5 separate regions of the Mus musculus genome follow, and all the other regions are reported to be linked to region 1. Evidence: microRNA targets listed by miRTarBase, many of them from high-throughput screens and not tested one by one. Region 1 holds a microRNA gene; each other region holds the end of a gene's coding sequence.
The links. Region 1 holds the annotated microRNA mmu-miR-17-5p (CAAAGUGCUUACAGUGCAGGUAG, at 1,329-1,351, opposite strand). A microRNA usually pairs through its seed, bases 2 to 8, with sites in the 3' UTR of a target mRNA and lowers its output. Matches are read on the target gene's strand: a 7mer-m8 pairs with bases 2 to 8, a 7mer-A1 pairs with bases 2 to 7 and ends in A, and an 8mer does both.

Region 1 (3,120 bases):
GCCATCTTTCCCTTGAGGGGGTCACATGGTAAGAACAGTCCAAGGATAGTTCTTTCTTACAGGGTGTGCACATTAACAGAGTGGCCACCACCTGTTAACTGTTAAGAACTCACGGATTAGGAATAATCTTATCAGAAAACACTCCATCTGAATTGTCACACTTTAATAAACAGAGATCCAAAGAAAGTAACATTTTTCTTAACTCATGTTAATGGGTTTTAGAGTAAAATAAACCTGAAGTCATACCAGGTTCAAAAGGCAGTTTAACTTCACCTAAGCCCCCACACACAACTTCTTACTAAATCCAGCGAGCAAACACGAAAATGAAATGATTCAGTAAAAACAAACCACAATTTAAAAACACAAATTTCAATTAAAAAAATCCCGTTTTACACACCAACGAAAGCAATAGAAATCACAGTTTACAGAATGTGTTCATACACTCCATCAGCTCGTGAACATTTTTACAGTGGAAATCGGCATCTTCAGCAATATTGTCATTTTCACATCTTCTGGTCACAATCCCCACCAAACTCAACAGGCCGGGACAAGTGCAATACCATACAGAGAAACACAGCATTGCGACAAATCCCAACCTGTGTAGAAAGGGGTTTGATTTTCCCTTACTTCTCTACAGACTTTTCACCACCACAGTCAGTTTTGCATGGATTTGCACAGCAGAATATTATACAGCTGGATGCAAACCTGCAAAACTAACCATAGACCAGTGCTCAATAACAGGACAGTTGGCTGGGCGATGGCCAGGCGAGGCTGGAGTTCTACAGCTGGCAGTACTTTAAGTGCTCGTAATGCAGTAGATGGCTACACACTACCTGCACTATAAGCACTTTAGTGCTACAGAAGCTGTCACATCACACACACCACGCAGGCTCTACATCGACACAATAAAAATACAAAATTAGTTTAAAAAAAAACAACACTTGAAGTAAATAGCAGGCCACCATCAGTTTTGCATAGATTTGCACAACTACATTCTTCTTGTAGTGCAACTATGCAAAACTAACAGAGGGCTGCAAACACAACTATGGAGAGACCCCTACATGCTTGCTTGACTTGGATTGGATGAGGACATAACTTCTTATGCCAGAAGGAGCACTTAGGGCAGTAGATGCTAGTCTACTTCACTATCTGCACTAGATGCACCTTAGAACAAAAAGCACGCAGCACCAGCAGGCCCTCCCCGCGACCGACTGACCGACGACTGGACGCAGCCAGTGCCGCCCGAGGCAGCGCCCACTGTGGCTCCCACCGAGGCAGCTGTCAGCATAATGCTACAAGTGCCCTCACTGCAGTAGATGCACACATCACTACCTGCACTGTAAGCACTTTGACATTATTCTGACTGGTCACAGCTTCAGTCCCAAGGTGAGGTTCACTTTATTCCTGCTAAATTTGAAATAAATAATTAGACAAAAAGGAAAAAGCCAAAGCTCTAAATTCTGTCACAAACATCAATTACAGCTTATACCCAAGGGGGGGAGGGGAGGAGCCAATAGCCAGAAGTTCCAAATTGGACACATGTAAGCCTTAAAAAAAAAAAAAAAACTCCTTAAAGAAATATAAGATACAATCCCATTAAAATGTTGGCTTTTACAGTAGGCTTCCCCAAAAAACACACAATAAGGGTCCTACAAAATGAGACCTGTTATCAGGAAGGCAGTCTGACTTGGTACTACCTTTAGAGGAAAGCCTCACATTGACCAGGCAGCAATCCCTTTCTTCTGTCCTCCACATTGTCAGATACTCGACAAGATTAATGATTATTGTTTAGTCATTTTCAAGTTTATTAGTCATAAAACATAAAAAAGTCTTAGTATCACCCCAAATTAGAAATACTCTATGACTCCAACTTGAAGGGTCTACAACTATTTGGTTAGTGTCCAAAAGCCACTGTAGATTTACTACGTTAAAATGTGGCTCACTCATTTATGACAAGAGTTCAAACTGTATTTATTTCATACCTTAAAAGACCAAGAATGTTGTACAAGCTCAAAGACAAAAGTGAAAACCAAAGGTCTCAAAAGAAGTTTTAGCTACAAAACTAGAATATACTCACCCACTCAGGCAAACTTCCTTCTCAGCAAGTATCCTTGGGCAATGCTTCGGGTGCTGCTAGGTCCACGTGTATGACTAGGGTTGGGGGTGGGGTGAAGACAGAGAAAGGGTAAGCACATTTGCTCAAAATTACTACCACTTTCCGAGCCCCATTCCAAGTTGCTCTTCTCTTAATCTTCCTAAGGGGCAATTCTATCCATTTGCCAAAAAAAAAAAAAAAAAAAAAAAAAAAGAGAGAGCCAGGACCACAAGGTCCTGAGGGCAACAATGTATTGGGTGGAAAACGCTGTAACAAAATAAAGTTGAAAACCCACCAAGATTCACATCCGTGCACGAATTAATGTGCCCCTGAAATACTGCAAGATGAGTAGCAGCAAGCCTGAACTCTACTGTCCAGCTCAAGCTAGAGAAAAAGGGCAACCAGGACTAGTCTTCACCACCCCTCCCCCAATCAGGACCTCGTGGCTGCACGCCGGGATAAAGAGTTGTTTCCCCAACTGCTGTGATCCTCGTGGCACGTTGCTCATTTTCTTCCCTCTGGTCACCTAAGAACCACGAGCCCTGCTGCGCTCTCCAGTTTTCTCCCCTCCGCGCCAGCTTATCAAGAGAAAACCGGACGGGAACACGGGATCCTGCCAAGTACCCGCCACGCTCATGGAGCCCGGGCCGGCAGCACATGTCGCACAAGGGGGCAGGCGGCCCTTGTGGGTTCCCCGCGCGGCCGCCAGGGGGCGGCAGGTCAGAGCCGGGCCGCGCTGCGCCGGACGCGGAGACTCCCCCCCCCCCCCAACCCCCGCCCGTTTCTGGGCGGCTGCGCGGCGAGCGGCGGCGCGGAGGCCCGAGCGTGGCGAGGCTCCGGACACGCCGGCCGTCCTTTGTGTCCCGCGCGCCCCCCGGCCAGGCTCCGGGGGAGGGAGGGGGGCGGACAGGGCGCTCGCCGCACGCGGCCCGAGGCCTAAGCCGGGAACAATCGGCGGCGGCGCGCAGTCGCCGCCATGTCCCCCCCCCCCCCGCCCTCGGCGCGCGCAGCCCGCCCCGCAGGAA
Region 2 (3,068 bases), not on the chromosome of region 1:
CAAGGAAGGGAAGGTGCTGGAAGTCGGTCAGCCCTTGGCCCTGGGTGTCCTTAAGCTTCATTTGCTGGCCACAGCTGGTTTCTTAGAATGTCTGAGTGGAGAGATAAGAGGGATAAAGTGGGATGGAGACTTCAGCCGACAGCCCCAGTCCACTTTGAAACTAACAGTTCTCTCTCCACTCGCCCTAGGGACCTTCGGCAGGGACAGGGAGGAGTCCGGCCAGCCCACGGCAGCTGGCTCCGCCTTTCCTTTGTCTACAACCACTATCTCTTCTTTGCTTGTACCCTGGTGGTGCTTCTGGCCATCGTCCTGTACCTTCTGCGCATCCACAGAATTCACCGCAGACAAACCCGAGCCTCGGCTCCTCTGGACCTGCTGTGGATCGAGCAAGTGGTGCCGATGATTGGGGTCCAGGTGGGGCCGTGAGGCTGGAGCGGAAGTGGAGAACCTCCCATTCCTTCGGATTGCTGCTGCTGCTGCTGCTGACTGAATTCCTCCACTTTCTCGAACTGGCCTCCGATGCTGCTTTGGCCTGCGAATTTCTACTTATTCACTTTGATTTCTTTTTGGTGCCCAGGACGGGACCTCTTCTCAGAAGTCGCAATTTAACTTCGAGGAACTAAATGTCGAGAGGCTGGTGCTAAGCTTAGCCCAAATGAAGCATGCTTCTCCTTTATCTCAGAAATTTGATCTGTTTCTGGGATGTAGCATCCCCCCCCCCCCCCCGCCCCTTGCTGAAGCAAGTTTTTGATTGGGCAACCGGAGGCGTGGTTGAAATCAGCTTGGATTGACTGCTACAAAGCCAGAGACATTCCAGCAAGTGCAGTTGCCCCTGTTTTCTCTGTAACAGAGAGATCCTTATGTGGAAGATCCACAGCCTTGAATAGGGACCTAAGATCTCTGAGGTTCAGTGGACCAGATTTCAAGGCAACCAAAACGATACAACTTCCTTGCTTACTTGACAAGCCATTGTGGATGTGCTCGGAGATTCACCCCCCCCCCCCCCCCGCAGTGTTTCTGATTTTGTTATATAGATCTGAAAGGTTAGAGCGCCTTTGAAATGGATGACTTATTGAAGATCTGACAGTATTTTATCTGATACTTGGTCTGACCAGTATAGAAAACATTTTCATGTCTATGTGCCTCACAAGGCTGCTTGGGCATTAATATTGCCTTTTGAGCCTTAAGTGTGCTTATAGATTGGAGAAACCGTGATGGGAACAGGACCTAGTTTTGCCTGTTTTGGTTACGGCCTCACAGGCATATAGCGTGTAGAAGATTCAAAGTGACTTCCCTCATTTCACTCCTAAGATCTTATATATATATATTGGGAAGGAATGTACTTGTTTTGTTTATAAATTATGTTTTGTTTTAAGAAAGAATAGCATCAGGAGAGTGGGCAAAGGCAATAAAATCCAAGGTTTTGATTTTTGTTTTTGTTTTTTGTTTGTTTGTTTTTTGTTTTGTTTTGTTTAGTTTTTTTGAGACAGGGTCTCTGTAGCTCTGGCTGTCCTGGAGGAATTTGCTCTATAGACCAGGCTGGCCTTGAACTCAAACTCACAGAGACCTGCATCTTCCTCCCGATCACTGGGATTAAAGGCATGAGCCAGCATGCCTGGCTTAAAGTCAAAGATCTTACTTTTTTTTTTTTTTTTTTTTTTTTGAGATGCTCAAAAGACAGCAAATTCTAAACTTTGGAATAACTAGATAAATCTGCCATGGAGCAACCTGGCCACTTTCTGGATGTCTGTCACAAATAGCTCTCCCACTAGCGGGGAGAGGAAAGCCATATTCCCGATGTTCTCACCTACTGCCTCTCAGACGGCCTTCTCTGCAGCCAGCCTTTCATACTGTAGTCCTCCATCGTCAGCTCCTCCCTGCCCCCACCTGGGATTGTTCCCAGGGCCGAAGCAGGAGTTTGATTTCTTCTTTTGGGGAGTAAGGCAGGTCTCCTGAGCCCAGTTTTCTAGGTCGCCAAGGCCAGCCTTGAAGCCCTGATATCCCTGCCTCTGTGTCTTTGTAGCGCTGGCTTCAAGGAGAGCATCACCAACCTGGCTCATTTTCTCTTCATTTTGCCAAAGCCTTTTATCTCTAGTGTTGGAGTTCAGAAGAAAAAAAAAAGAGTCTAAAGGAATAAAAATGAATTTCTTTGATAATAAATTCCTCCTGGGAACAGAAGGAAATGAAATGATTTATGAAATAGAGAAAAAAGTCAAGATGGTCTTAGGGAGGAAGCCAACGTGAGGATGAGTGTGTTGACTTAGCAGTTAGGCAAGGCTGCAATTACCATCATCTCCTCCCTCTTCCTCCCCCTCCTCCCTCTCTCTCCTCGCCCCCTCTCTCTTCTTCCTTCTCCTTTCCCTTTCCTCCCCTTCCCTCTTCTTCCTCCTCCTCCTCCCCCTTCCTCCTTTTCTTCCTTTTCTTCCCCCTCCCTCCCCTCTCCCTCCCCTCCCCCTCCTCTTTTCTTTTCTTTTCTTTTTTTTTTTTTTGAGGCCGAGTGGGTGTCACTAAGTAACTCAGGCTGGCCTGGTTCTCAGTGGTCCTCCTGCCACAGCCTCCTGAGTGCTGTGATTACAGATGTGTGCCACCATGCGTGCACATTAGATACGTGCACACCTAGCAAAGAATTCTTTCATGTCATCTACTTTTCATTAGGGCTGTGAGGTTGACATCTTAGGACTTCTCAGTTGTCTCCCTTCTCCATCATTCTAATTTTTATGTCCTGTGAGTGAGCCTCTGCTTTTTTTTTTTAATGTTGCTATAAAATGCTCTTACCAGCCATTTGCTTCCTCAGGGAACATTTAGCTTCATCTTGGTTTCTATATAGCTGTCTTGGTGTGTTGAGAGATCTAGTCAGAAGTCCCTGGGCAGGTTAACAGTGGCCATGTTCATGGGCTCCAATTGAGACTGGAGGAGGGAGGTGGTAATGGTCTGGTTGTAAAGCTCTCATTACTGATCTTCCTCTTTGTCCTGATGCTACTAGAAGCTTCCATCTGTCAAGCACTTATTTGTATCCCTCTTAATGTTGTGTTCTTTACTATATATCATTTAATCATTACGGCAGCCTT
Region 3 (3,068 bases), not on the chromosome of region 1:
ATGGCACCTTCGATGTACAGCGGTCACCAGATTGATTGGATGATTAAAGGACCTCTCACACAAGGGGAAGAGACTGTTAGGCAAGCCCAGTTAGAGTGGTTGAGACAGTGCTGGCTCTAAGGATAGGACAGCTCCCTGCCTTGCCTCAGAAACATCTCAATCTGTATGCTTTGCAATATCTAAAGCCAAACCAGAATATAAGATGGGGGTGCTGATGCAAACTTTTAGTTCCAGCACTCAGGAGAAAGGTTAAGTTTAAGACCACCTTGGTCTACGTAGGACAGTCAGGGCTACATTTGAGACCCTGTATGATGAAAAAAAAAAAAAAAAACCAAGAAAAACCATGAAGCAAATCAGAATATGTCTTCCTAAGTTGTGAGCTATCTTAGCAAATAGGGGTCACCCAAGGAGGGAGTGTCACTACAGTCTGCTTCTAGTCAGTTGGGAAGAAATACCAGTGACTGGTATCTGAAGTTGGGGTGGGGAGGCTGGTGGGGCTGAGCCCTCAGTCTTATGGGATCCGACCCTGTTTCTTGATTGGGTAAACTGAACTATTGGCTATTCAGGCAACAATCTTTGGAGAACTGCTGTGTGTGAGGGCCCTTCACAAACATGTAGTCATAGGAATATTCTGTGTTGTGATAAGAGAAAGAACCATTCATTCCTCATTTCTAGGAACTGACTGGGAAATAGAATGTCTACCTTCTCTTGGCGCTGCTGTTAGACATGGCTGAGTTCCAGACTCATTAGACCCCTGACATGTTTGCTAATAATGGCCAAGCTGGAAGGCTGCACTAATGTGGAAATTCATGTTTCATCAAGTGAACACAGGCCCTTCCTGATTAAACTCTATCTTTATTTGTAATGGAGACTTCAACTGTGCAATGTGGTTCTATTTAAATGTGAACAGTTTGTATCAACCACAGAGAAATTTTAGCATGTGTTTCTTTCCTGATGATTATAACTTTTGCTGACAGTGTGACCCTTTAGATTCCTCTCCTGACAGACAATCATAAGCTTAATTTTCCTTTCCAATTCCACCCTTTCTGTTGTGCCCTGCACTCAACCCACTCCTTCACTCCCATCCTTCAGCTCTGTGTATTTATTATCAAAGCCACGGATCCTCAGTTGCTTCACAACTGTTTCCCCTTCTATCAAGGCTACTTACTGTTTTGTTTTTGTTTTTGTTTTTTCATCTATGTGCTACTGATCCTAAAGAGTAAGGAAATATAATAGTTTAGTCAGTCCATTACTTTGATGGCTGAGGTCAATATTTTTTCCCCAAGAACAACTCCCAGTGTTATTGGTTATTTCTTTAATAGATTTAGTGTACAAGTTACTTTAGCAAAAAATAAATAAAAATGAAAACACAGAATTGTTCCAAACATGAAAAATAATGGTATCAATGTATGAAGTCAGAGAACCCAAGGTCTGCAAAAGGAATAGTCAAAAAGTCACACTGGTAAAACCAAGGACGTTGTGAAACAAATAATATACAAACTTTTATTCAAAGATAATTCAAGAAAGACACATGTTGGTCATCTTTAAAGAGATTAATCGAAGATCTCAGAAAAACTATCTGCTCAATACACATGATTAGTCACAGAAAGCTTTCTCTTCCATTAATAGCAGCTAAATTTATACACACAGAAAAAATTCTTAAGACCATGCAAATTCAGTTGAATTCCACACATTCATTATATTCATCAAAAAACCTGCAGGTATGTTCATGCCAAAAGTGTTACTTTAAGAAAAAAAATTAAAAACACACACCAAAACATGATCAAGATTAAACTAAAGAAAAAAATAATAAATAAGCATAATTTATATTTTATTTAAAAAAGTTTGGCATCACACATATTAAAGTGTGTTACGCCATGTTCATTCATTCCTCAGAAGTGGCGTTTTTTAAAGTGTTCAGCATTGTTAAATATCAAAAAATACAACTCTGTTTTACAATGTAGTACTGGCATAATTCAAAGTACTGTGCCAATTATAAATAGATAATCAAACATCTTTTCAAACATATTTAAAGGAAAGCATATAGACACACATTTATATGCACACAATTTATTATAGTCATGTAATCAAAGATACTTATAAAAGCCAGCAGTTTCACCCCTCAACAGTGTCATATACTTACATAGATTTTAATCTGCTCCAAAGATTCTCTGTTCCCAGGAGATTTTTCAGGAGAAAGAATAAAGATAAAACTTAATTTTACAAGAACACACGTTAACTTTATTCTCTTTCACAAAATAATCCATAGTCATTCGAGGCTGATAAGAACTAGTTTTTATGAAAGCGACTGTTGCCTAAAGACCACAGTGGAGGGACTGCAGTCTAGGTCTCTTGTAAAGTCAGTCAGCTGCTGCTCGGTGCAGAGAAAGCCTACACAGTGCTTCTACCAAAAATAATCTTCAGTATCCGAGGCCTCTGAAGGCAGATGGTCTCATCTTCTGCTGAGACGTAAAGTGCGGCTACAAGTGGAGAGGCCAGGCGCTCAGTCCCTTCAGAAATACTTGTGGACGCCTGGTTCTCATGGAATGATACGCTGAAAATGTCCTTCAGGCTCATAACGGTTTATCAATAACTGTGACCCCTGCATGAAGGAATGAAAAGATAAGACATGTCACAGGCAACACTCTGCGCCTTTGAGAAAATCAAGAAGCCTGTACTGCTAAAGCCACGGGCAACACCCAAGTGCCTTTCCTCCAACTTAGCAGCATCATGTTTTAAAACTTAGATTATCATATTTTATGTGAGTGTTTTGCCTTCATGTATGTATGTGTACCATATGTGTGCCTTATGAAATCAGAAGTCAGAGAAAGGCATGGATCTTCAGGTACTGGGTTAGAGATAATTGTGAACCACAATATGGTTGCTGGGGATAGAACCTGGGTCCTACACAAGACCAACAAGTGCACTCAATTCCTGCACCATCTTCCAGTTCTTACTGGTTTCTTTCTTTTCTCTCTTTCTTTTCTCTCTTTCTTCTCTCTCTCTCTCTTCCTCCCTCTCTTTCTTTCTTTAAAAAAAAAACTTTTCTTAAAACAAACAAACAAACA
Region 4 (3,068 bases), not on the chromosome of region 1:
CCTTCTTGCTGGTCTCTCCCTGACCAGGAGACGCAGTCACTGCCCCGCAGACTGATCTCCCCACTGGATGTAGGAATTCCAGAGACCTGATTGGCACTACCTCTTCTTTTGCTAGGCCCCCACCACCTTGATGGTTTTTCTACCCCCTTCATCCTGCCCCCACCTTGTCTCTGGTCCTGGAACTTGCAGTGGTCAGGCCAGGCCTCTTCCTGACTCTTTCCTCAAGTGGAATTTATGGGATGAAGGCAGATTGGGGCAGTAGGATAGCCCAACTTAATGCTCTCATTACCTGGATTTGGGGTTGGGCTGGGGTCCTGTGTAGGGCATTGGGGAGGGAGCTACATCTAAGCCAGGCTCTCTACACCCTGCATATGCTACATCCTGACCCACACTAGCAATTCAGGATACCTAGTTGAGCAGCCCACAGGGTCTTGCTCTTTCAGTCCTCCTGACTGTCCCTCCACTTGTAGCCCAGGATATGCTATGTGGCTAAGGTAAGGGTGAGGGACTGGGAGGAGCCGAGCGTGGTGGGCTCTGTATTGTGAGGTGGTAGTGATGAATCCCTTGCTCTTCGGTCTTGGGCGCCTCTGTGCCTGGCCTGGCTCTTCCAGCAGGTGTCAGGCTCGGTCCGTGCTCAGCCTTCTCCACCACGCCCACCATTCTGCCAGGCTCAGCTTCCAGGTTCAGAGGAATTGCGGGTTTTCAGAGTGTCTGGAATGTAGGTTAAGGAAAGGTTCCACACTCTCCACTTACTGGGTCAGGCATGACCCCACAAAGTGACAGGAGCTCTCCACTTTGAGGCCAGACAGCCTGGCTTAGCTGTAGATCCCCCACCTTCCAGCAGGGTGCCTTATGTCAGGGAGCCTCAGTGGCTGTTTTACACTTTGTTTTGAAAGCCAGTACACGGGGTCCCCAAAGTCAAAGTCTTTCCCAGCCTGTGGAGGTGTGCATTCAGGCATGGGGGGAGGGGGGGCTGAGGGATCAAGAAGAAGCCAAGAAGGAACTCTGAGGATCATGTGGTGGCTTGGAGTTGAGGGGGGTCTAATCTCCCTGGAGTGTCTCACCTCCTCCTGACCCCAGAGGCTCTCGGCTGCAGTCACAGGGCATGATGATGTGTGTCCAAATGTACCTGCAGGCCATGTCAGGGATGACTCTGAGACCAGGTGCACCAGCCAGTGAACAGGAGGGGGGAATAGTCCCCGACTGAGCTGTGAGCACATGGGGGTTAGTGTGGGAGGAAACACAGGCTTTCGTATTCTGTGCATGTGGAAATGTGCACATCCATTACAACTGTGCATGTCTGTGTGTGCATGTGTGTGCGCCCATGTGCCTGGATGCATGCGTGTGTTTGGAGACGTGACTAGTGTGTACCTCCAAGGCTGTACATAGTGTTCTGAGAGGAAGTCCCTGAGCCCATGTTCTGGTGAGGAATGGGTGAGCCTCAGCCCACATGGGATCATGGTAAGTCTCAAGGGTAGTGTGTATGTGAGCAGGAGACAGTGTATGTGTGATTGCTGTGAAACTGTGTGTGTATATCTCCATGTGTGATTGTGTTTGAGCCTGGGATTGTGGGAATGCACTTGAGCACCCAAGATCCTCAGTTGTCCCCACCCCACCCCCAGGGCTGCTAAGCAGTCAGGTGACAGCAATCCACTCTCCATGTCTTCCTGGAAACCAACCGCTCAGGAAATTCAGCTCTGGGAAAGACTGCTGGGTGTCCGAGAGAGCCACTTGTTTGCCCTCTCTGAGCTAGGCTGCAGAAGCACCTGTGTGGTTTTGTCCAAGGATAACTGGGAAGACTGGGAGGGTATTGGTCAGCTAGCCTGATTTCAACTGCAGCTCCTTGCCTGAGGTACTGACCTGGGGCTTGATGCCCCCTGCTCCTTAGTCATCTGGGAAGTATGGTTAGAATTCTCACTTAGGAGCTTGCTCAACAAGACTGACCAACACAGAACAACAGACCCCTGTCTCCAGCTTTCACGCCCTGGCCACGGCAGCCCCCTCCCCTCTCCAAACTTCCATTACTGGCACCACTTAGCAGATTTGGAAACTGAGGTCATGTGGTGTGATCTGGCAGCTAGCAGGGGCTGACATCTGGAGCCTGGTTGATATGCCCTCCGCAACCATTGTGTACAGTGCTAACTAACACTGCTTTCCCAGTCAGCCAAGCAGTCAGCGATGGCCACTTTTTTTTTTTTTTTGAGACGGGGTTTCTCTGTATAGCCCTGGCTGTCCTGGAACTCACTTTGTAGACCAGGCTGGTCTCGAACTCAGAAATTCACCTGTCTCTGCCTCCCAAGTGCTGGGATTAAAGGCGTGCATCACCACCGCCCAGCAGCGATGGCCACTTTTATGCCCCTTTCCTGCTCAGTGCCCAGAACAGCCAGCCACTGCACGGAAAGTCACAGACACAGACGGGGATCGTTTATTCCAGAAAGTGCTTAAAGAAACCACTGGGCAGTGTGCAGAAACATCAGTCCTCAGTGCCCTCCCTCCGAGACAGCCCCTCCCCCAGGGTGCTAAAGCCCCAGCCCCTTCACTTTGCAGAGTGCGGAGGGGAGGGGTGCAGGACGGAGGGGGGGGCGTGGTCCACAACAGGGAGCGCAGGAGATGGCAGGATGCAGGGGCAGATCCCCAGCTCAGGCCGAGGGGAAAATGAGGAATCCGCTGAAGATGCTGTCGGCTTCAGTGCCCTGGTAAATGCGACCCTTTGCGGGGTCCTTTTCGATCCACACCTCGTCCCCTCGTCGCAGCTGAAGCACGGTGCCCCCTGCTAACACCTGAAAGAGCCCCTTGTTGTTGGTGTTAGAGAAACTCAGGGAATCCCTGGGCTGGCCCCCGGAGGAAGACTTGATAAACAGACAAAGGTCCCACTTGGAGATCACTTGGAAGTTGAAGTAATAGAAGCCGGGCACTGCACAGATGAAGCGACCCGTGTGGTTCTGGTATGGACTCTCCTGGTTGGTGAGGACCTTGTCAAAGATAACCACGTTGCCAAGCGTCATTGGGTTCTGCCGAATGGCTGAGAAAGCTGGCCGGGGCTGGTCCCTGATATTGCCTGGATTGCC
Region 5 (3,068 bases), not on the chromosome of region 1:
TCCATGAGGGGGTGTGGGGGGAGACAGTCATGGCTTTTATAAAACAGGAGCTGTTTTGAAGCTATTCAGTTTAAGGTGAACTCTCTTCTGAATGTTGTACCTACAAAACTATATTGCATTTATCACCGATTTTAAAAATACTCCTTTAATTCAGGTGGCTAGATTGAGTCTATTCTACTGTACAAGCTACAAACCCCCTTTCTAACTATATAAGCGACCTGACAGCAATCTGTTCTGGTTTTCCTCCTCAGGTGGACTTTGAGCTTGAGTCTTTCTCTGAAAGGAAGGAGGAGGAGAAGGAAGAATTGATGGAGTGGTGGAAAATGATGTCAGAAACTTTGAATTTTTAAGAAAGGCTTCTAACTAATTGCTTTAATCTATCTATAGACTGTAGTAAGATGCAATGTGGCTCTTTTCTTTTAGGTTGTGTGCAGTTGATATTTAACATTGATTTATTTTTGATCATTTAAGTAATAGTTAGTAATCACGTAAATACACCCGGACAGAAATATAATGTCTGGATCTACTTCATTCTTACATCAACATTCACTTTAAAATCTATCGAAGCTCTTTTAACGTAATGGGTGACAATGTCACATGACAGATGCCATGAAGAAGTCAACCGATATAGCTTGGATCTGTGAACCCTGTACTGCGAGAATCACATAGTTCCATATAAGTTGTCCTTAGTCTCTTGTGCTGATTCACTGTATAAGCATGATCCTGGTAATGCACTTTGGATGGGAAGAAAATGTACGTGCTTTTCAGAGGGGCTCTGAACAGAATGAAAACCTAGTTCTTGCGTGTACTTTGAAGAATGGAATTGTATTAGTCAGCCTGTTAATGCCACTTCAGAGTTTGGGGTTTTGTCTTGATTGTAGATTGGCCCAGAATTGCATTCTGATGAATAAAGGCAAAAAAAAAAAAAAAATCCCATGGTGTGCATTTCTCTATGATGTTTTTGATCTAATGCTGTAGTTTCATGTGTGTGTGTGTGTCTGTGTGTCTGTGTGTGTGTGTCTGTGTGTCTGTGTGTGTGTGTCTGTGTGTGAGTTTGTGTTCCTAAGTGGCTTATAAAGGTGAGAAGGCCTTCAGATTCCCTGAGATTAGACTTGCAGGTAGTTGTAGGTGCTGTGATTGGAATCTGCTTCTCTCAACTCATTGGCACAGGGGGAAATTTTCTAAACAGAACTCCAGTGATGCACACTTTAAGATCAAGAATTGATAAATGGGACCTCATGAAACTGGAAAGCTTCTGTAAGGCAAAGGACATAGCCAATAAGACAAATTGGCAACCTACAGATTGGGAAAAAATCCTCACTAACCTCACATTCAGTAGAGGGCTAATATCCAAAATATATAAAGAACTCAAGAAGCTAACCACTAAAAAACCAAACAACCCAATCAAAAAATGGGATATAGAACTAAACTTAGAATTCACAACAGAGGAATCTTGAATGGCTGAGAAACACTTAAAGAAGTGTTCAAAGCCATAAGGGATCAGAGAAATGCAAATCAAAACAACCCTGAGATTCCACCTTACACCAATCAGAATGGCTAAGATCAAAATGTCAGGTGACAGCACATGTTGGTGTGGATGTGGAGAAAGAGGAACACTCCTCCATTGCTGGTGGGACTGCAAACTGGTACAACCACTCTGGAAATCAATCTGGAGGTTCCTCAGAAAATTGGAAATAGATCTACCTAAAGATCCAGCAATACTACTCTTGGAAATATATCCAAAAGATGCTCCACCATGCCACAGGGGCACATGTTCCACTATGTTCATAGCAGCCTTGTTTGTGATAGTCAGAAGCTGGGAACAACTCAGATGTTCCACAACAGAAGAATGGATACAGAAAATGCGGTACATTTACACAATGGAATACTATTCAGCTATTAAGAACGAGGACATCTGAGTTTTGCAGGCAAATGGATGGAACTAGAAAATATCATCCTGAGTGAGGTAACTCAGACCCAAAAGGACATGCTTGGTATGTACTCATTAATAAGTGGATGTTAGCACCCAAAAATGTACAGAATACTCAAAATACAGTCCACAGAACTCAAAAAGGTCAACCAGCTGAAGGGTCCAAGTGAGGGCCTCAGTCACACTTGGGAGGGAGAAGAAGCAATCACAAATGGGGAGGGAGGGGCGACTTAGGGGGGAAAGAGGGTTGGGGGGAGGGGAACATGATCTGGTATTGTGTGTGTGGGGGGGAAAGGACTGAAGCCCCGAGGGCCAGCAAAAAGGATGGAAACAGGCAACCTCGGGAGGTAGGAGGTTGGGGAGATCCTCCAGAAAGTACCAGAGACCTTGGAGGTGAGAGACTCTCAGGACTCAAAAGGAGGAACCTTAGATGAAATGCCCTATGTTGGGGAAAAGGAACATGTAGAGCCCACCTCCAGCAGAAAGACAGGGCATCAAGTGAGGGATGGGGTTGCCATCCCACAGTCAAAACTCTGACTCATAATTGTTCCTGTCTGAAAGAACTGCAGGGGTTGAAATGGAAAGAAGCCTGAAGAAAAGAAGGTCCGGTGACAGGCCCAAAGTGGGATCCAGATCAAAGGGAGGCCCCAAGGCCTGACACTATTACTGAGGTTATGGAGAGCTCCCAAAAAGGGACCTAACATGACTGCCCTCTGAGAGACCCAACAACCAGCTGAAAGAGTCAGATACAGATATTTGTACCCAACCAATGGACAGAAGCTGCTGACCCCTGTGGTTGAATTAGAGGAAAGTTGGAAGAAGCTGAGGAGGAGGGCAGCTCTGTAGGAGGACCAGCAGTCTCAATTAACCTGGAGCCCTGAGATCTCTCAGACACTGGACCACCAACCAGGTAGCACACACCAGCTGCTATGAGGCCCCCAACACATATACAGCATAGGGCTGCCGGGTCTGCATTCAGTTAGAGAAGACCCTCAAGTGACTTGAAGCCCCAGGGAGTTTAGAGGTCTGGTGGTATGGGGTGTGTGTGTGGGGTGGGGTGGGGTGGGGTGGGGACATCCTTGTGGAGACAGGAGGGGTGGGTAGGGGGTATGGGATGTGGAACAGTCAGAGGTGGACG

Region 2: miRTarBase lists Entpd7 as a target of mmu-miR-17-5p. The part of its 3' UTR that is shown has no 7-base or 8-base seed match.
Region 3: the mRNA of Klhl2 is a reported target of mmu-miR-17-5p. Seed matches in the 3' UTR shown: 8mer at 2,471-2,478, 7mer-A1 at 1,910-1,916 and 7mer-A1 at 1,862-1,868.
Region 4: miRTarBase lists C1qa as a target of mmu-miR-17-5p. Seed matches in the 3' UTR shown: 7mer-m8 at 2,435-2,441.
Region 5: the mRNA of Cpe is a reported target of mmu-miR-17-5p. Seed matches in the 3' UTR shown: 7mer-A1 at 548-554 and 7mer-m8 at 732-738.

The regions. Positions count from the first base shown.
Region 1 is chr14:115,041,915-115,045,034 of GRCm38, reverse strand. It overlaps Mir17 (microRNA 17), which reads right to left and starts at 1,364; the gene lies at 1,281-1,364. It overlaps Mir18 (microRNA 18), which reads right to left and starts at 1,184; the gene lies at 1,089-1,184. Mir19a (microRNA 19a) reads right to left here and starts at 1,035; the gene lies at 954-1,035. It overlaps Mir20a (microRNA 20a), which reads right to left and starts at 878; the gene lies at 772-878. It also overlaps Mir19b-1, Mir17hg and Mir92-1.
Region 2 is chr19:43,729,510-43,732,577 of GRCm38, forward strand. It overlaps Entpd7 (ectonucleoside triphosphate diphosphohydrolase 7), which reads left to right. Exons shown (of 13, transcript NM_053103.5): 13 at 189-3,068. The coding sequence ends at 426. Among named protein-coding and RNA genes, the nearest start is that of Cox15, 22 kb to the right of the region's middle.
Region 3 is chr8:64,738,373-64,741,440 of GRCm38, forward strand. It overlaps Klhl2 (kelch-like 2, Mayven), which reads right to left. Exons shown (of 15, transcript NM_178633.3): 15 at 1,303-2,602. The coding sequence ends at 2,574. Among named protein-coding and RNA genes, the nearest start is that of Msmo1, 6.3 kb to the left of the region's middle.
Region 4 is chr4:136,893,515-136,896,582 of GRCm38, forward strand. C1qa (complement component 1, q subcomponent, alpha polypeptide) reads right to left here. Exons shown (of 3, transcript NM_007572.2): 3 at 2,402-3,068. The coding sequence ends at 2,640. Among named protein-coding and RNA genes, the nearest start is that of C1qc, 2.1 kb to the left of the region's middle.
Region 5 is chr8:64,590,405-64,593,472 of GRCm38, reverse strand. Cpe (carboxypeptidase E) reads left to right here. Exons shown (of 9, transcript NM_013494.4): 9 at 252-931. The coding sequence ends at 350. Among named protein-coding and RNA genes, the nearest start is that of Mir710, 77 kb to the right of the region's middle.